Lytechinus pictus: one gene and its partner. The protein of the gene in region 1 purifies or fractionates together with the protein of each later gene. This does not show direct contact. Links are inferred from orthologs where the notes say so. Each region holds a gene or a part of one and is shown on either strand. Other genes may lie near its edges.

What was found. The genes of interacting proteins can lie anywhere in the genome.
Region 2: the proteins of derlin-2-like (region 1) and protein OS-9-like purify together in Homo sapiens (affinity purification with western blotting; 3 studies listed by BioGRID, with this or other methods). This does not show direct contact. The link is inferred for Lytechinus pictus from reciprocal best matches to the Homo sapiens genes DERL2 and OS9.

The regions. Positions count from the first base shown.
Region 1 is NC_087246.1:9,527,758-9,535,525, reverse strand, and holds the start of derlin-2-like, read left to right. Parts: upstream 1-4,760; 5' UTR 4,761-5,180; intron 5,181-6,966; exon of another isoform or gene 6,967-7,103; intron 7,104-7,768.
Region 2 is NC_087247.1:60,358,202-60,366,258, reverse strand, and holds the start of protein OS-9-like, read right to left. Parts: upstream 3,033-8,057; 5' UTR 2,938-3,032; coding exon 2,782-2,937; intron 1-2,781. UniProt on the Homo sapiens protein: Lectin component of the HRD1 complex, which functions in endoplasmic reticulum (ER) quality control and ER-associated degradation (ERAD).

The sequences.
Region 1 (7,768 bases):
TGCTGAATCATGTGAAAATTGGTTTCCCAGATCGATTGTACATAATACAGTCAATGTTTTTGGCGGCCATTTTGAAAGTCAAAATACAATATTTAACACAAATATGAAACCCGAATAATATATTTCGTTGCAAATTATATTTGAAGACAGTATTCCACTAATTTACCACAAAAAAATACGTTTTAGTGCTCACCTTGTGATTGCTTTTGTCCTCTCTCACATCGTAGATCATAATTTTAGGGCCTTTGGCGGTCATATTAAATATCAAAATACAGGGTTTATCACATACATGGCATGTATGTAATTAATAAATTTCGTTAACAATTATGTTTTTAGTCAGTATTCCACTCGTTTATCTCAACAAAATGCATTTTAGTGCTCACTCTTGTGATTTTTTGTGTGTCACCATTCACATTGTACATAATAGTGTTAGGGCTTTTGAAGGCCATTTTGAATATCAAAATACAGGATTTATCACATAACTGACATAACAAATGATATATATCGTTAGCAATCATGTTTACAGACATTGCTTCACTCATAGATCATAATTACTTGCATTTCTGTGCTCAATTTTGTAAAAATTAATTTTCCCCATTCATATTGTACAGGGGTCTATGATGGCGGCCATTTTGATATCAAGAAAATAAATATTTTGACAAAATTCATTTTTTCAGATATTATTTCACTCCGGCAGCATAATTGCATGTACTTTAAAGCCAATGTGTGGACAATTTTATGATTTTCATGGGTAATTTGAATATTTTGGCGGCCATATTGGATTTTGCCAATTTGCAGAAAATGCTCAAGGTTACACGAGTGGCATCATTCAGATTCGGAATCAGCACCCTCGAATTGACAAGAAACCATAAAAAAACATTGTATATATAAAAAAAACAAGGTTCGACCCCTTCTATCCTGGACTATATCGGTGGCCTATATGAATAAACTTTGATTTCTTCACAGGAGTATGTTAAAGAGGAGGGTGCTTTTTCAGTGTTTAATTTGGTTGTTTATTTTTTTGTATATTTTTATTTATTTATTTATTTCATGCGTAGGCTCATAAATCGTAAGAAAAGTAGGACCTTAATGGATCATTAAACTGTACTGAGGCCTACATAAGTCTGATTTTCGTTCGAATTATTGGCCCACTAGGTCTTTAAATAAAACATTAGAAGTGAATCTGTCCACTCTGAGGATCTCCAATATTCTTAAGATTTCCTTCGATCAATAGGAATCTGGTGTGACTTTGGGCCATGGACCCCGTTTTTTTTCACAATCCCAAATTGTGGAACAGGGTTGAAAAAAAGACAAGAAAAAGGGGGTCAGAAATCCGGGGGTGAAATATGCTTTTTTTAATGATATTATTTTCTAAATATTATACCAAAATCTATCGCAAAATTATATGTATGTATTAAGAAGGTACCAACTCTTTTTTTAATTGCCCATCTGCCATATCTGCCCTCTTAATTAAAACTTCTGGCTCATTATAAGCTATATTGCCCATTAAAGGAATACTGAGGGGTCACTCGAGGTCTTCATAGTCCAGGATAGGCCCCATAGACAAGGGGTCGAACCTTGTTTTTTTAGATATACAATGTTTTTTTATGGTTTCTTGTCAATTCGAGGGTGCTGATTCCGAATCTGAATGATGCCACTCTTGTAACCTTGAGCATTTTCCGCAAATTGGCAAAATCCAATATGGCCGCCAAAATATGCAAATTACCCATGAAAATCATAAAATTGCCAACACATTAGCTATAAAATGCATGTAGTTGTTGTGCAGAAGTGAAATACCAATTGGAAAAGCGATATTTGACAAAATATTTATTTTATTGATATTCAAAATGGCCGCCATAACCCCTGTATACTTTATTATGTAGAATATGAATGGGCAAAATATTTTTTCAAACAAGAGCACTATTATTGCATGTGATTGTGACCTGCGAGTGGACTACTGTCTGAAAACATGACTATTAACAAAACTATGTCATTTGTATACTATCTAATGTGATAAATGCTGTATTATGATATTCAAAATGGCTGTCATAGACCCCTTATACTGTGTACAATATATAAAAGGGGACATATAATTTTCACAACCTTTGAATTTGTTTGACTTTAAAATGCCAATAACTGCGAAATATTGGTGTAACACCGTCTGACAACAAGGATTTCTAACGAAACATATCATTTCCCTTGCAATTTCGGTAATTATGCTGCATGTTGACATTCAAAATGGCTGCCATAGGCCCTATCTGTATTATGAACAAAGCGAATGAAGAAACTAATTTTCACAAGAGTAAAAACAATAAAATGAATGCAATTGTAATCTATACGAGTGAAATATTGTCTAAACACATGATTTCTGGCGAAACATATCATTTCATTTTTCATGCATGAGATGAATGCTGTATTGTAAAATTCAAAATGGCCCCTATGGGCCCTTACAGTATTATCTACAATGTAAATGGGGACAAATACTTTTGAAAGAATTAGGATTTGCCTGACTATGAAATCCATATAATTATGTTGTATAAGGAAAATATTGTTTGAAAACGTGATTTTTTTAATGAAATATAACATTTCCTCTCCCATAGGTGATAAATACTGTATTTTGACTTTCAAAACGGCCGCACAAGCCCCTACAAATTCTGTAACATGCGTATAGGGAAACTAATCATCACCAGAATGAGAACCAAAAACGCACGTAACTATGTGATGTATCGGTAAAATTTGGTCTTGAACATGATTTCTGACTAAATACATCACATAATGGTTGAGAAGGTAATAAAGGCCTTACTTTGAAATTCAAAATTGCTGCCATAGCCCAAAGTAGTATGTACATTGTAACTGGGGACAGATAATTTTGACAAAATTTTTACTATGAAAATGGCTTAATTTTGATGTAAGTGTTAAAGAGAAATTCCAGTATTTGCAGTAAACACTGATTTCATGAGAAAGTCTGTAAAAACAAGGCTTAATTGTCAGTATATCATCGAGGATCTAGATCTGGTACAGTTACATAAACTGAACTTTTTGAAATCTTGAAATCTACGCTGAAAAATGTTCACACTGAAGATCACCAACACAGATAGGCACACGTGGGACAGTGTATTATTATTGCTAAAATAAAGACCCGACGGAAGTGACCGAATCCGCGCTTATTTTGCTTATTTCTCAGCAATCACACAATTTCTTCCAGAATCCTTTGGCACATATTTTTTATTCATACAAACAGACACTTAGGTGGTCATTATATTAGATTCTGTAAAAAGTCATTTTTAGATCGTTACCAAAACTGGAATTTATCTTTAAGTATTGTCTAAACCCAATGATTTCTAACGAAATATATCATAGCTTGTGTCATAAAGGTGATGAATGCAGCCTTTTAAAAATGAAAAATGGCCGCCGTAGTCCCTTATCTTAATATGTAAAATTTGATTGGGGAAAGATAATTTCCACAAAGAAACATATTGCAGCCATTTTGACATTTAAATATAGCATTTATCACCTAAATAACATAAGAAATGATCTATTTGGTTACAAAATCATATTTTCAGACGATATTTCACTCATACATGCAACACCATTTAGTCAAGCAAAGCCAAATTCTGTTAAAATTATATGTTCCCATTCACAAAGTACATAATAGGCCTACTGTTAGGGCCTGTAGCGGCCATTTTGACTTTCAAAATACATTATTTATCACCTACCTGGCAGAATGAATGATATATCTTGTTAGGAATTATGTTTTCAGACAATATTTTACTCTTAAATCACAATTATATGCATGTTATGGTGCTGACTCATGTGAAAATTGGTTTCCCAGATCGATTGTACATAATACAGTCAATGTCTTTTAGCGGCCATTTTGAAAGTCAAAATACAATATTTAACACAAATATGAAACCCGAATAATATATTTCGTTGCAAATTATATTTGAAGACAGTATTCCACTAATTTACCACAAAAAATACGTTTTAGTGCTCACCTTGTGATTGTTTTTGTCCTCTCTCACATCGTAGATCATAATTTTAGGGCCTTTGGCGGTCATATTAAATATCAGAATACAGGGTTTATCACATACATGGCATGTTAAATGATAAATTTCGTTAACAAAAATGTTTTTAGTCAGTATTCCACTCGTTTATCTCAACAAAATGCATTTTAGTGCTCACTCTTGTGATTTTTTTGTGTCACCATTGTACATAATAGTGTTAGGGCTTTTGAAGGCCATTTTGAATATCAAAATACAGGATTTATCACATAACTGACATAACAAATGATATATATCGTTAGCAATCATGTTTACAGACATTGCTTCACTCATAGATCATAATTACTTGCATTTCAGTGCTCAATTTTGTAAAAATTAATTTTCCTCATTCATATTGTACAGGGGTCTATGATGGCGGCCATTTTGATATCAAGAAAATAAATATTTTGACACAAATCATTTTTTCAGATATTATTTCACTCCGGCAGCACAATTGCATGTACTTTAAAGCCAATGTGTGGACAATTTTATAATTTTCATGGGTAATTTGAATATTTTGGCGGCCATATTGGATTTTGCCAATTTGCAGAAAATGCTCAAGGTTACACGAGTGGCATCATTCAGATTCGGAATCAGCACCCTCGAATTGACAAGAAACCATAAAAAAACATTGTATATATAAAAAAACAAGGTTCGACCCCTTCTATCCTGGACTATCACGGAATTTCCGTGGAGGTCTTCCGTATCTGAACGTGCTCTGTCATTTATTGTACCTGCAAGTATTCACTAAAGGGAAAAAAATGTTCCGTGCTTGTATTCTTCAAAAAAATATATAAGAAACTTTTGTCAGCCTTTTTTTTTTTAATTTGTATTTATTTATTTTTTATTCGATTTCTTAAATTTTGTAACTATGTACCGTAAGTGAAGTATCATTAATCATTAAATGTGCTCAGACGGACACTTATCACTTTCGAGCAAGGTGATTAATTGAATTGCTTACTTCACCGATTTGGATCAGCTGCGTAAAGCTGACGTGTGTGTACGAGACTTAAGGCCTAGCCTACTTCTGTGCTGTGTTAACAAGCTAGCTACGCCGACTGAATTTTATTTAGGCCTAGTTTAGAGTTTAAACAAAACTCCAAATTCAAGCCAGTGCCAGTAGTAGTCCAGTTTAAAATTGTAAGTTGATCTAACGTTATTAATGTAGAGCTCTGTTTCGTCTTTCAACATTAACTATGAATATGACTGCGATTAACAACATAGGCTAATTGTTTTGCTTTTTGTTTCAGTTTTTCACCATGGTCCAAGACTCCAGTCCATGTTCACCGTATCACTATCAGTTTCAGAGTCGATTCTCCACTCAGTTGATTCATGAACAGTTGAATGAAGTTCAATCAACTTCCATACTTCATCAGTTAGTTAGGCAACCATGACAAGACAGTCACTGTGTGCCTTAGACAGCTGGCAGCCGTCCGTTTCGAGGAGTTTTTAAACTTTTTTTTTTTTTTAGAGTGAAGCCAACGGAGTTCAGCTGAACAACCAACATAACAGAGACCGAAGCTTTTGGTCTATGTGTGCCTGTGACTGAGTTGAGTTGAGACTGAGCTTAGCCTTAGACGTAGCTAGACTAGACCTGAGCCGAGTATTATGAAAGAGAGACACGAATCAAATAATGAGTCTAACTTTGCTTCAATTACTTTTTAGTAATTGGGATGGTCTGGGCTGAGAATATCTAACGTTGGATCCAGATCTAGATATAATCTGGACTCTATGTCATGATGTGGCTGACCATGATTTGGCACATTTTGAAAAAAAAGTTGGTTTTCAATCTAAAAATTACAGTTCACACAAAATTAATCAAAATCATAAATACCAGATGGAAGGCAAGATCCCAAAGGCAAAGTCAAATTCGCTTGATGGAATTATAAAGTAGGTCAAGGTTTGCACTCGTATCGCGATCTCAAAACTCCATGGCGATCGACTAGTGCGCACTTGGCTGAAAAAGTGTCATAAAAAGTGTGACCTTAATTTGCACACGATCGTTTTGCAAAGCTTTAAAAAAGTAATCAAGCAGACAAAGGTAAGATAATTATATCAGATGGAGGTTAAAATGCCATAAATTTGGTTGGTATCACATTTTACTTATTTGGAGACCTCTCCTTGCAAACTGACGATTTCTTGATGCTTGCCAAAAAGTTTAGATTTTCTCGGAGCGTACGCTAAAAGTAACAAAATTCGCCAATGTTTTGCCAATGTCTTTACAATTTGAGACCTTCAAGAATATTATCATACTGAGTAATTTTGGGTCGCTTTTTCTGTTGGTGATATCACTTTTTCAAGATGTTAATTAGATATTCGACTGCACAAAATCAGGTAAACTGCGAATTAAGTACACACCACCATAAATAAATAGAGTAAAATTCACAGAGCAAAATGCTGAAAATTTCATCAAAATCAGATAACAAATTATAAAGACTTTAAAGTTATTGAATTTTTAAGTAAACCATTAATTTGTGAAAATAGTTATATGCACATCATCATGAATATTCATTAGGTGGGCTGATGATGTCACATCCCCACTTTCCCTTTTCCTTATGTCATTACATGAAATCATAATTGTTTCATTTTTTCATACGTGTGAATAATGTGTCTCCTTTATAATGAAATAGTTGCAGCAATGAATATCTAATGCACTAAATCAGTTGTCCAATTTTTTTAAGTTCTTGGTAAATTTGTTTTTAATAAACCTAATTTCATATAATAAAATACAAAAGAACAAGTGGGGATATGACATCATCAATTTGCTCATTGAATATTCATGATGACATGCCGAGAACTGTTTCACCAGAATAATGTAAATCTTTAAAATGCCATAACTTTGGTATTCCTTGTCCGGTTTTGGTCAAATTTTCAGTGTTTTGTTTGTCTCATTTTTCTCTATCTGTTTAAATCATATAATTTTCAGCCTGGAGTATCCCTTTAAGTCTGGTGAGTGGTGTTGCCATGCCTGTTGAGTGTTAGTGCACAGACACAGTGATGTTCGTGTAGGGTAGGCTCCACTTCACTACCGCTACACTAGGCTACACCTACCCGAACATCAAGGTACAAAACTCCGAGTGACAAAGGTGTGATTTAATGTGTATAAAACGTGAAACTCGTGCAACAACACAACCTTTAAAAACAATAAAAACTAATATTCCTACATTTCACAAAGTTTCACTTTTCCACGCTTCTATCAGTCTCAAAATCGTTGATTTAGAGCCAGTAACAGTTTCCTCACACGTATTAATTCACTGCCGATTTTAAAACATCGCAGTTGCGCATGCGGGGAAATCGCAGCTCAATTCAAGAAAATTCATGATGGGACTATATAGTTCGGGATCGTTTCGCATAACTTGCATCAGATCTCGATAGTTCAGATTTTGATAGTTTAGATTCTCCTATAAGAAAGATGTGTAAGATTTTTTTTGTTTTTGGGGGCTAATTATGATCACCCTCTGTATTTATGAACTTCCATATGAGTTATAAAAGAAAGTTTTGATCCAGATTTAAAATAGAGCCAATATAAATTTTTGGATAATGTCATATGTCAAATGGAATCGCCCTTATTCTTGGAAGACAAAATCTTCATCATGCAAAATTTGTGTCATCCACTTCTCCTTAATCAAATTTTCATGATAATAAGGAGACATTTAATTCTGCTTTTGAAATGTGAGAGATGGATCCAAAAGATTAAAAACACAAAATGCGTCCAATAAACAGTGATG
Region 2 (8,057 bases), on another chromosome or scaffold:
ATAAATATGTAAAAATTTTGCGGAAATCATTTTTCTTTTTTACGATATTAGCTTCCAATCGGACCCCTCTTCGCATGTGAAATATTTTTGTCACTTGAAAAAGGTATCGTATTACCGAACGTGTGTTTTCTATAGACCTTATCGCAAATAGCGTCTGTCGCGTGAGGGCGTCTGTCATCGCAGAGGATCATGGGATGCGAAAGGGGGCAAACGCGGAATCGGCTTTCAGGAAGCCATACAACGCCATATGTTTTGTGTAGTGTCACTCAAAATCCAGGCTTTTTTTTTAGTCTGATTTCTTCGTATTTATATTATTTTGGATACTTTAATGTGGATTTATAAAACAATCTTTGTATCATGATTGCCCAGTGAAAGTATGAACTCAATATTCACTGTATTTTCGAAGTTTTCTGGGGCTAAACTTGGGAAGATTTTGTGGGGAAAGTGAGACGGTGATTGCGGGTCAATGCTGATCGACTTTAGAAAAGAGCACGTCGGCGTTCCGAATTAGATAGCATATTTTTCCATTAAAGAATATTCATGAGAATCATAATGTAGACCATATATATCTCCATATAAATTTAGCTAGTTTTTGTTATTTTGGGTGAAATATAGTCCTTTTTTGCAACTCGGGCTGTTTAGTTTGATCATACAAGTTCTGGTGCATGAGACAAATCTAAAGCCCAAAATAAGCTAGTGTATATATATATATATACATATACATAATATTAAGGACATACAAAATAATAGGCCTATGACATGCAGAATAAAGATGAATAAATCTCTCAATTTAAAACATTTTATGATCCCGTATAGGCCCTATCCCTCCAATCTCTCTGTAATTTTATTTTGTCTGAAACTTAGCAGATGGATATTTAATTCATATAGATATATATTCCATTCTTTTGATAAAAAATCTTATTTCAACATTTACATCTTCAATTAATTTCATCGCATTCAGTCACTTCTCTTACAAATCACCTTCCTCATTAATTTCTTTTTTCTTTTTTTAGCTTAATTTTCTCTCAATATACTTTCATCTATTCTCATTTTTTTCTATTTCATTATGATTATTTTGTCTATGCATGCCAACAATAAAACTTCAGAATGTCCGACCACGATCCTGAATAATATGCAATAATATTATGTAGCCTATCTGTGGAGAGAAAAAGAAAACACAGCTCGGTTTATAGGCCTACTCTGAATAAAATCATGATTGAGATAATTAATTATGAAACATGTATTCTTGACTATCGATTGATATTACAAAAAATATATAACTAGACTAAAGTAATCAAATCTACTGCAGAGTTTGTTTTATTGATCATCATTTTATTATTGCTTGGAATTCCGGGACCAGTTTCCTCCACTGCCTCGCCGACGTACCCCTGGGCCGAGAGTGCATGCCCGCTGTCCGTGCATACAAGCACACTTTGCACAGCAGCTGCACAGATCAAAATACGCACAGACAGTGCGCGAAAATGAAAGAAAATTGCACTTGTCTTCATAAAATCTGTGGTAATTCTTGCAGCTTTATACAGCACATCTATCTCTGCCACCCATGATTAAGAAGAAAAGTGATGTTAGACTCTGGAACAAATATGACGAGGCGTTTACTGGAAGTTAGCAAAATGTTGGCTGCCGGCGTCGATCGTATTTTGATACACTATGGAAATCGTACACTTTATTGTCGGCTGCTTGCGCTCGCATGGTCGCATCCGGACAACAGCGGCGCTATTGCTCCCTTTGCGATCCCATGATCCTTTGCGTGAATCTATTTGCGATAAGGTCTATGGGAAAAATTGAGAAAACAACAAAATCACTGGTGAGCTATTTTGACCATATTTTAATATTTTTAGAATATCATAACTTTGAAAATGTGTTTTGACCATTTTTCATCATCTTTCTATTCAAGTTCCCTTTGGAAGGATGTTGCAAAGTTTTGAGCGTATGAAATTATTTTCTGACGCGTACGATGCGCGCGTTCGGTAATACAACTACAAGGCCGTTCGGTAATATACAATCACTCACTATACTAGTAGTACGCCTATACCTACCTCAGGCGATGTTCGTGCAGGCTCCACTCCACTTCACTACCGCTACACTACGCTCCACCTACCCGAACATCGGGACAGTGAACTAGATCGGATATTCCGAGTCATAAAAGGTGGGATGGCAATCATGGTTATCGTAGAAATTAAAGAAAAAAATATAAAGAAGGATATGAATGACTTAATAATAATATCTTACTTTACACCCGTATTTCACTCCGTGTCCATCCTCCGGTTATCCTCAAAATTGGTGATTTTGGGCCAGTATCTTTTTCCTCACACATATTATTCACGGCCGATTTCAAAACATCGCATGCGATCGGTCGCTGATCGATCGCGATCGCATGCGATGTTTTGAAATCGGCCGTGAATAATACGTGTGAGGAAAAAGATACTGGCCCAAAATCACAAATTTTGAGGATAACCGGAGGATGGACACGGAGTGAAATACGGCACTTACGGGTGTAAAGTAAGATATTAAGTCATTCATATCCTTCTTTATATTTTTTTTCTTTAATTTTTACGATAACCATGATTGCCATCCCACCTTTTATGACTCGGAATATCCGATCTAGTTCACTGTCCCGATGTTCGGGTAGGTGGAGCGTAGTGTAGCGGTAGTGAAGTGGAGTGGAGCCTGCACGAACATCGCCTGAGCCTGAGGTAGCCTATACCATACAACACGTAAAAATATACATATGGGACCGTACATGAACAAATCTCTACTTACTCTTCCATATAAAACAGGATTTTCAAGGATATCTATGTCATAATGGATGCTTTTGAGTTCTTCTATATCCAAGAAATATACTGATGTCCCTGCCAACATGGTAATGTTGGTTAAAAACAACGCGAGTGCGATGTTTTCTATTCGCTTCAATCCCATCTTCTCGTCTCACGTAACGAGCTGAAAGTCCTCGGTTTACTTTATCACTGCATGCATGCTTGCACCGTACGCGTACCGCACCAAAGTTCGACTGCTATGATGATTTGCTTGCATGTGATTGGCTCGCGCTCGTTAGCTGTATACAGTGCGTTTCAAAAAAAAGGTAATCCAAATCTAGAGGGCTGATATTAGGATCATATTTAATTTTGTGAAATTATTCTGCATGGATATATATGAGAAACTCATCAGCTTTCAATTGATACCCTATTTGTATCATTTTGTGCCACGCATGACCAAATCAATCGCTTTTAAAGACAACAGGTGCAGAGACCATTTTTTCCAAGTTTTGGTAAAGTGGGTAAAATGTGAACTTGATAGAATAATATGTTTTCCAAAGTAATTTTTTGGAATGAAGTGTTACTTGAGGCATTTCTCTGAAATGATGAGTGAAAAGTGTATGTCTTATCATGGACCTGGTCTTATTTACCCACACCTTCAACATGTCATCCTCTCCTTTGAAAACAAAACCAGAAGCGTTGAAGGATATATTGGACAGCTCGTCTCACCAATGGCAATGCCGGATCATTGTCCAAAGCATCCACCTCATATCGAATTTTTATTTTATTTGTCTTCCAACTTTGAGTTCGAATACATGACAAACATACAAGTGTGTATGAAACAATAAGTACATGATAAAACATACAGGTATACATAAAACAGAGTATGCAGAAAACATTGTTTTTAAATACATTATACAGCTTAAGACAGAAAAGAAATAATTTTAAAGGAAGACGAGGAGACCCTGCAAGTCATCAAAATCGTGGGGAAGAGTTGCAAAAACCTTATTTTTAAGTGTCCCTAAGGGAAATAATCAAAGGGCGTGCGGTCAGGCGATCTTGGTGGCTTTTTAATGCCATGGTTGAGGGCAACAACGTAATGTCCAAAGAGTCTATATCACGAATGATGTTGGAACGATGGGCAGGAGCTCCGTCCTGAATCCACCAAAGATACCTGTACACTCCTCACAACTGTCCCTCAACAATATGTTGGTCCAAATGTGGTACGATCTCCTCGTTAATGGTGTGCAAGTACATTCACTTATTAACAATCCTTTGTAAGAAAAAGGGTCCAATCAAAAGATTTTTGCCAGCTCAGACATCGATGAAAGTATTTACATCAGCATCTGTCTTTTCATCAAGTTTTCAAAAACTTGGAAAAAGGGGTCTCTGCACCTTTTGTCTTCAACATCAATTGATTCGGTCATGCGTAGCGCAAATGGCATAAAATAAAATAAAAAGAATATAGGTAACTTTTGCTTAAATTTCCATTATTGAGGTAAAAATTACGCATTTTCATTATCCAAATATGCAGGCATCCGCAGGTCCTTAGGCATGGCCGTGTGACTGTAGTATTAGCGAGGATTCAAAAGATAGACCAATAGGACGCACAAAAGACAGATAGTCAGGTCCAGATTTTAAAAAATGTGCTCAGAAAAAGTGCTTAATAGGCATTTTGTGTTAATGCTTATTTATCGATTGTTTTAAGGTAATTCAGGGGTGCTGAATCCAAAAATGCTGTTTGCCAAACTTGATTTCGACGTTTTCATCCTCAAATCGGCAAAAAAAAACAAAATGGCGGCATTTTGAATGCAGTTTCCCATAGGCCTATTAAGCGATTTTTATTGGTGATTATATTTCAAAAATTGGGGTCTATGCCTTATTTTTTATACCCTGGGTTGCAAACACAATGCATCCGATTGATTCGTTAGCCATCTTTAATTCCAAGATGGCTGCCATGATTCACAGCTGCTGATTGATAAATAATATGGCCAAATATTTGATGATTTTGGGGCGATGCTGGCATAATCATGTTGTGATATTTTAACGTGTCCTTCATTTTTTACTCGCCTGCATACCAGAAGCATGACATGGACGTCGCTTTTCCGACGGCGGCGATGACCATGGCGGCGGCAAGGTCAACATCAAATCTTAACCGAGGTTAAGTTTTTGATAACTTTTAGGGTATAGATGTCTATTTCATGAAACTTAGTGTTAAAATCTGTTGAGACAGGTTATAGTTACAAAAGGTTGTCCAGGGTACCTGGAAATCCAACATAGCATCCAAAACGGCAGTGTTTGTACCATCAACTCCAAAAATTAAAGTAAGTCATCAAAATCAAAATCATAAAAAAGCTTTCAAGGCAAATAATGAATCAGGACATGTTTACAAGATAGTCAGTGAGTACGTTGTCAGAGAATCCAAGATGACCTTCCAAAATGGCGTCTATATAATGAACGTTGTAACTTTGAAATGGTCCAAATTCTTATAATATCCACCCGGTAGAAATAATTTTGCGGTCTACCGAGAAAAAAATAAAACATAAAAAATCATGGTTCCAAGGAGAAAAATTACATTGGAAAATTTTCAAGGAGTATCAGTGGTGCTGTTTTGCAAAAAAAACATGATGGCTTAAAAGATGCTTGCTATTTCTTAAAGAATTGCTGCATAGTGCACATACTATATAGGCCTACCTAGAGACATTTTTGTATCTTTCTCATGATTTTAAGGGCCAAATAATATAGGTGAAGACGAATTACAGGGATACGCTGTTGTCCATTTTGTCAAAAAATTGCAGAACACTCCAAAAATTGCATTCGAATTGGCCAACATTGATACAAAAATGGCAATACTTCATATCCCATCTAGCGCCACTATTTTGGTGCCTCTGCTATGTATTTAAGACTCATAAAAATATGTTTTACAAGAGTTAGTGACAAAATTAGATGGTGGTGCAACAACAAGTAAACATCCGAAAACAAACTTTAAGAAATACGGTACACTTTCACCTAAAAAGAACCATAATTCGCTGATAAGAATTTCAAGACACGTCATTAATAGTGCTTAGGACTATCCTATGTGGTTTCATGATTAGGGGACAGCAGTTATTTTTACGCAATTTTAGAAGTCGCTTTGGACTTTTACAACGAAAAGGACAATACTGACCATCCTTGTTATTTGTCCCGATTTATTATTTCAGCCTTGCAAGCCACAATAGTGTAGATTATTTCATCTAATTATATTTTTTAAGTGATGGAAGTCTTTTTAGACTCATTTTGAAAGCCATCTTTGAATAATAAGCAAAATGGACAGCTTCACAGAATTGTAACTAATCCAAAAGTATTATTAAACCCTTGAAACCATGGTGTAGACACCGAAATCATATCTCCCAGATGGATTCTAAATGGATTATGTCAATTTTTAAGTATCAGCACCCATTTTAGACTCCTGTATTGGTAGTCATCCTGGATTTTTGGACAGACAGGACTATTAATTGCCCTTCTTACTTATCCTTTATGTATTACTTGACCTTTTAAACCAAGGGTTAGATAACATAAGCATATACCACAGGCGGATATTAAACAAACTATGTCAGTTTTAAGGTAACAATAGCCATTTTAGACTCCAATTTTGGAAGCATATTTGGATTCTTGGACATGCTGGACCTCTGACTGTCCTTGTATAACTTATCCTACTTTATTATTTGACCCTTTAAGCCATGGGTTAAACACCAAAATCATATACTCCAGGCTGATTTTAAACAAACTATGTCAGTTTTTTGGTAAGAACGGCCATTATAGACTCCATTTTTGGAAGTCATTTTGGATTTTTGGACATGCTGGAACCACTAACTGTCCTTGTTACTTGTCACAATGTAATACTTGACCCTTTAAACCATGGGTTATACTACAAAATCATATTCGCCAGGCGGTTATTAAACAAACTGTGTCGGTTTGTAATTAACGACAGACATTTTATGCTCCATTTTTGCAAACCATATTGGATTTTTGGACATGGAGGACCACAAACTGTCTTTGTTCCTTGTTCCAACATATTTTTGACCCGCTTAACCATGGGTTATAGGTATCAACATTATATCCCCAAGGCAGATATTAAACAAACTATGTCGGGTTTTAGGGTTTTTAGATAAGAGTTATTTTAGACTCCAATTTTGAAAGCCATCTTGGATTTTTGGACATAGTGGACCGTTGAATGTCCTTGTAACTTGTCACAGTTTACTACTTGACCCTTAAAATCACCAATGAAAAAACAACAAATAAAAGGCATTCATTGTAAATTTTTAGGCCATGGCAGCCATTTTTACGAAATCTTGGATTTTCAGGTATCCTGGAGTGCTTATTTTCACTCTTTCCTTTTACCCTCTATACACCGTTGAATGCAAGTCGTGTATGCACCAAAAAAAGGTCTTTATAGGGCAGATAAAGAGTCAGTTATATTAATTTTGAGTGCAATGGCGGCCATCTCAGACGCCATCTTGAAAATAACCACTTTCCCGGATGCGAATTTTAGTTGATTTTTAGTATGTTATTTCTGAGATCAAAATAAAATAGTACCAAAAACAGTTGACAAACATTTTTTTAATACAAATTTTGGGGTTCAAAATAGAGCAAAAAAGGATGTAGAATGGCGGCCATATTGTTTTTGCCAATTTGATGATTTTAACATCAAAATCAAGGTTGGCAAACAGCATATTTGGACTCAGCGCCCTCAAATTATGCTGTAACACTTTTCAATTCTGCATTAACACGATTTGCCTAAGGCAGTCTACTTTTCTCAAATCTGGACCTGACTAAGATCCTATGCAGGTGTCTAAAAGATGTGCACACAGGGATTTCATTAATCATTCAGACATACCCTAATATAGGCAAGGCCGTAGCAAAAGTGGAGGGTGTAGGATGCGACACCCCCCCCCCCCTTCGCGCTCGCCCCACCGTCAGTAAATCTGCGAGCATGTCGGGAAATTGATAAAAAAAAAAAGGGCGAGAGGAACTGAAGGGGAAGGGGAAAAGGGGAAAGAATGAAAGGTGAAAAAAAGAAGAAAGGGGTAAAGAGAAAGAGGGGGGGGAGATGATAAAAAGATAAATAAAGGATAAGAAGAAGAAGAGAGCGAGGGAATGGAAAGAGGAAGACGATATGCGGAGCCCATAATGCTGCCTGTCGGAATCACGCAGTGCTGTTCCAACATTCCAACTGCTTTGAGTGCCATGTTCGTTCTTGATTTCAACCACATTTTGTCGGTATCAATCTCAAATTGTAGGCCA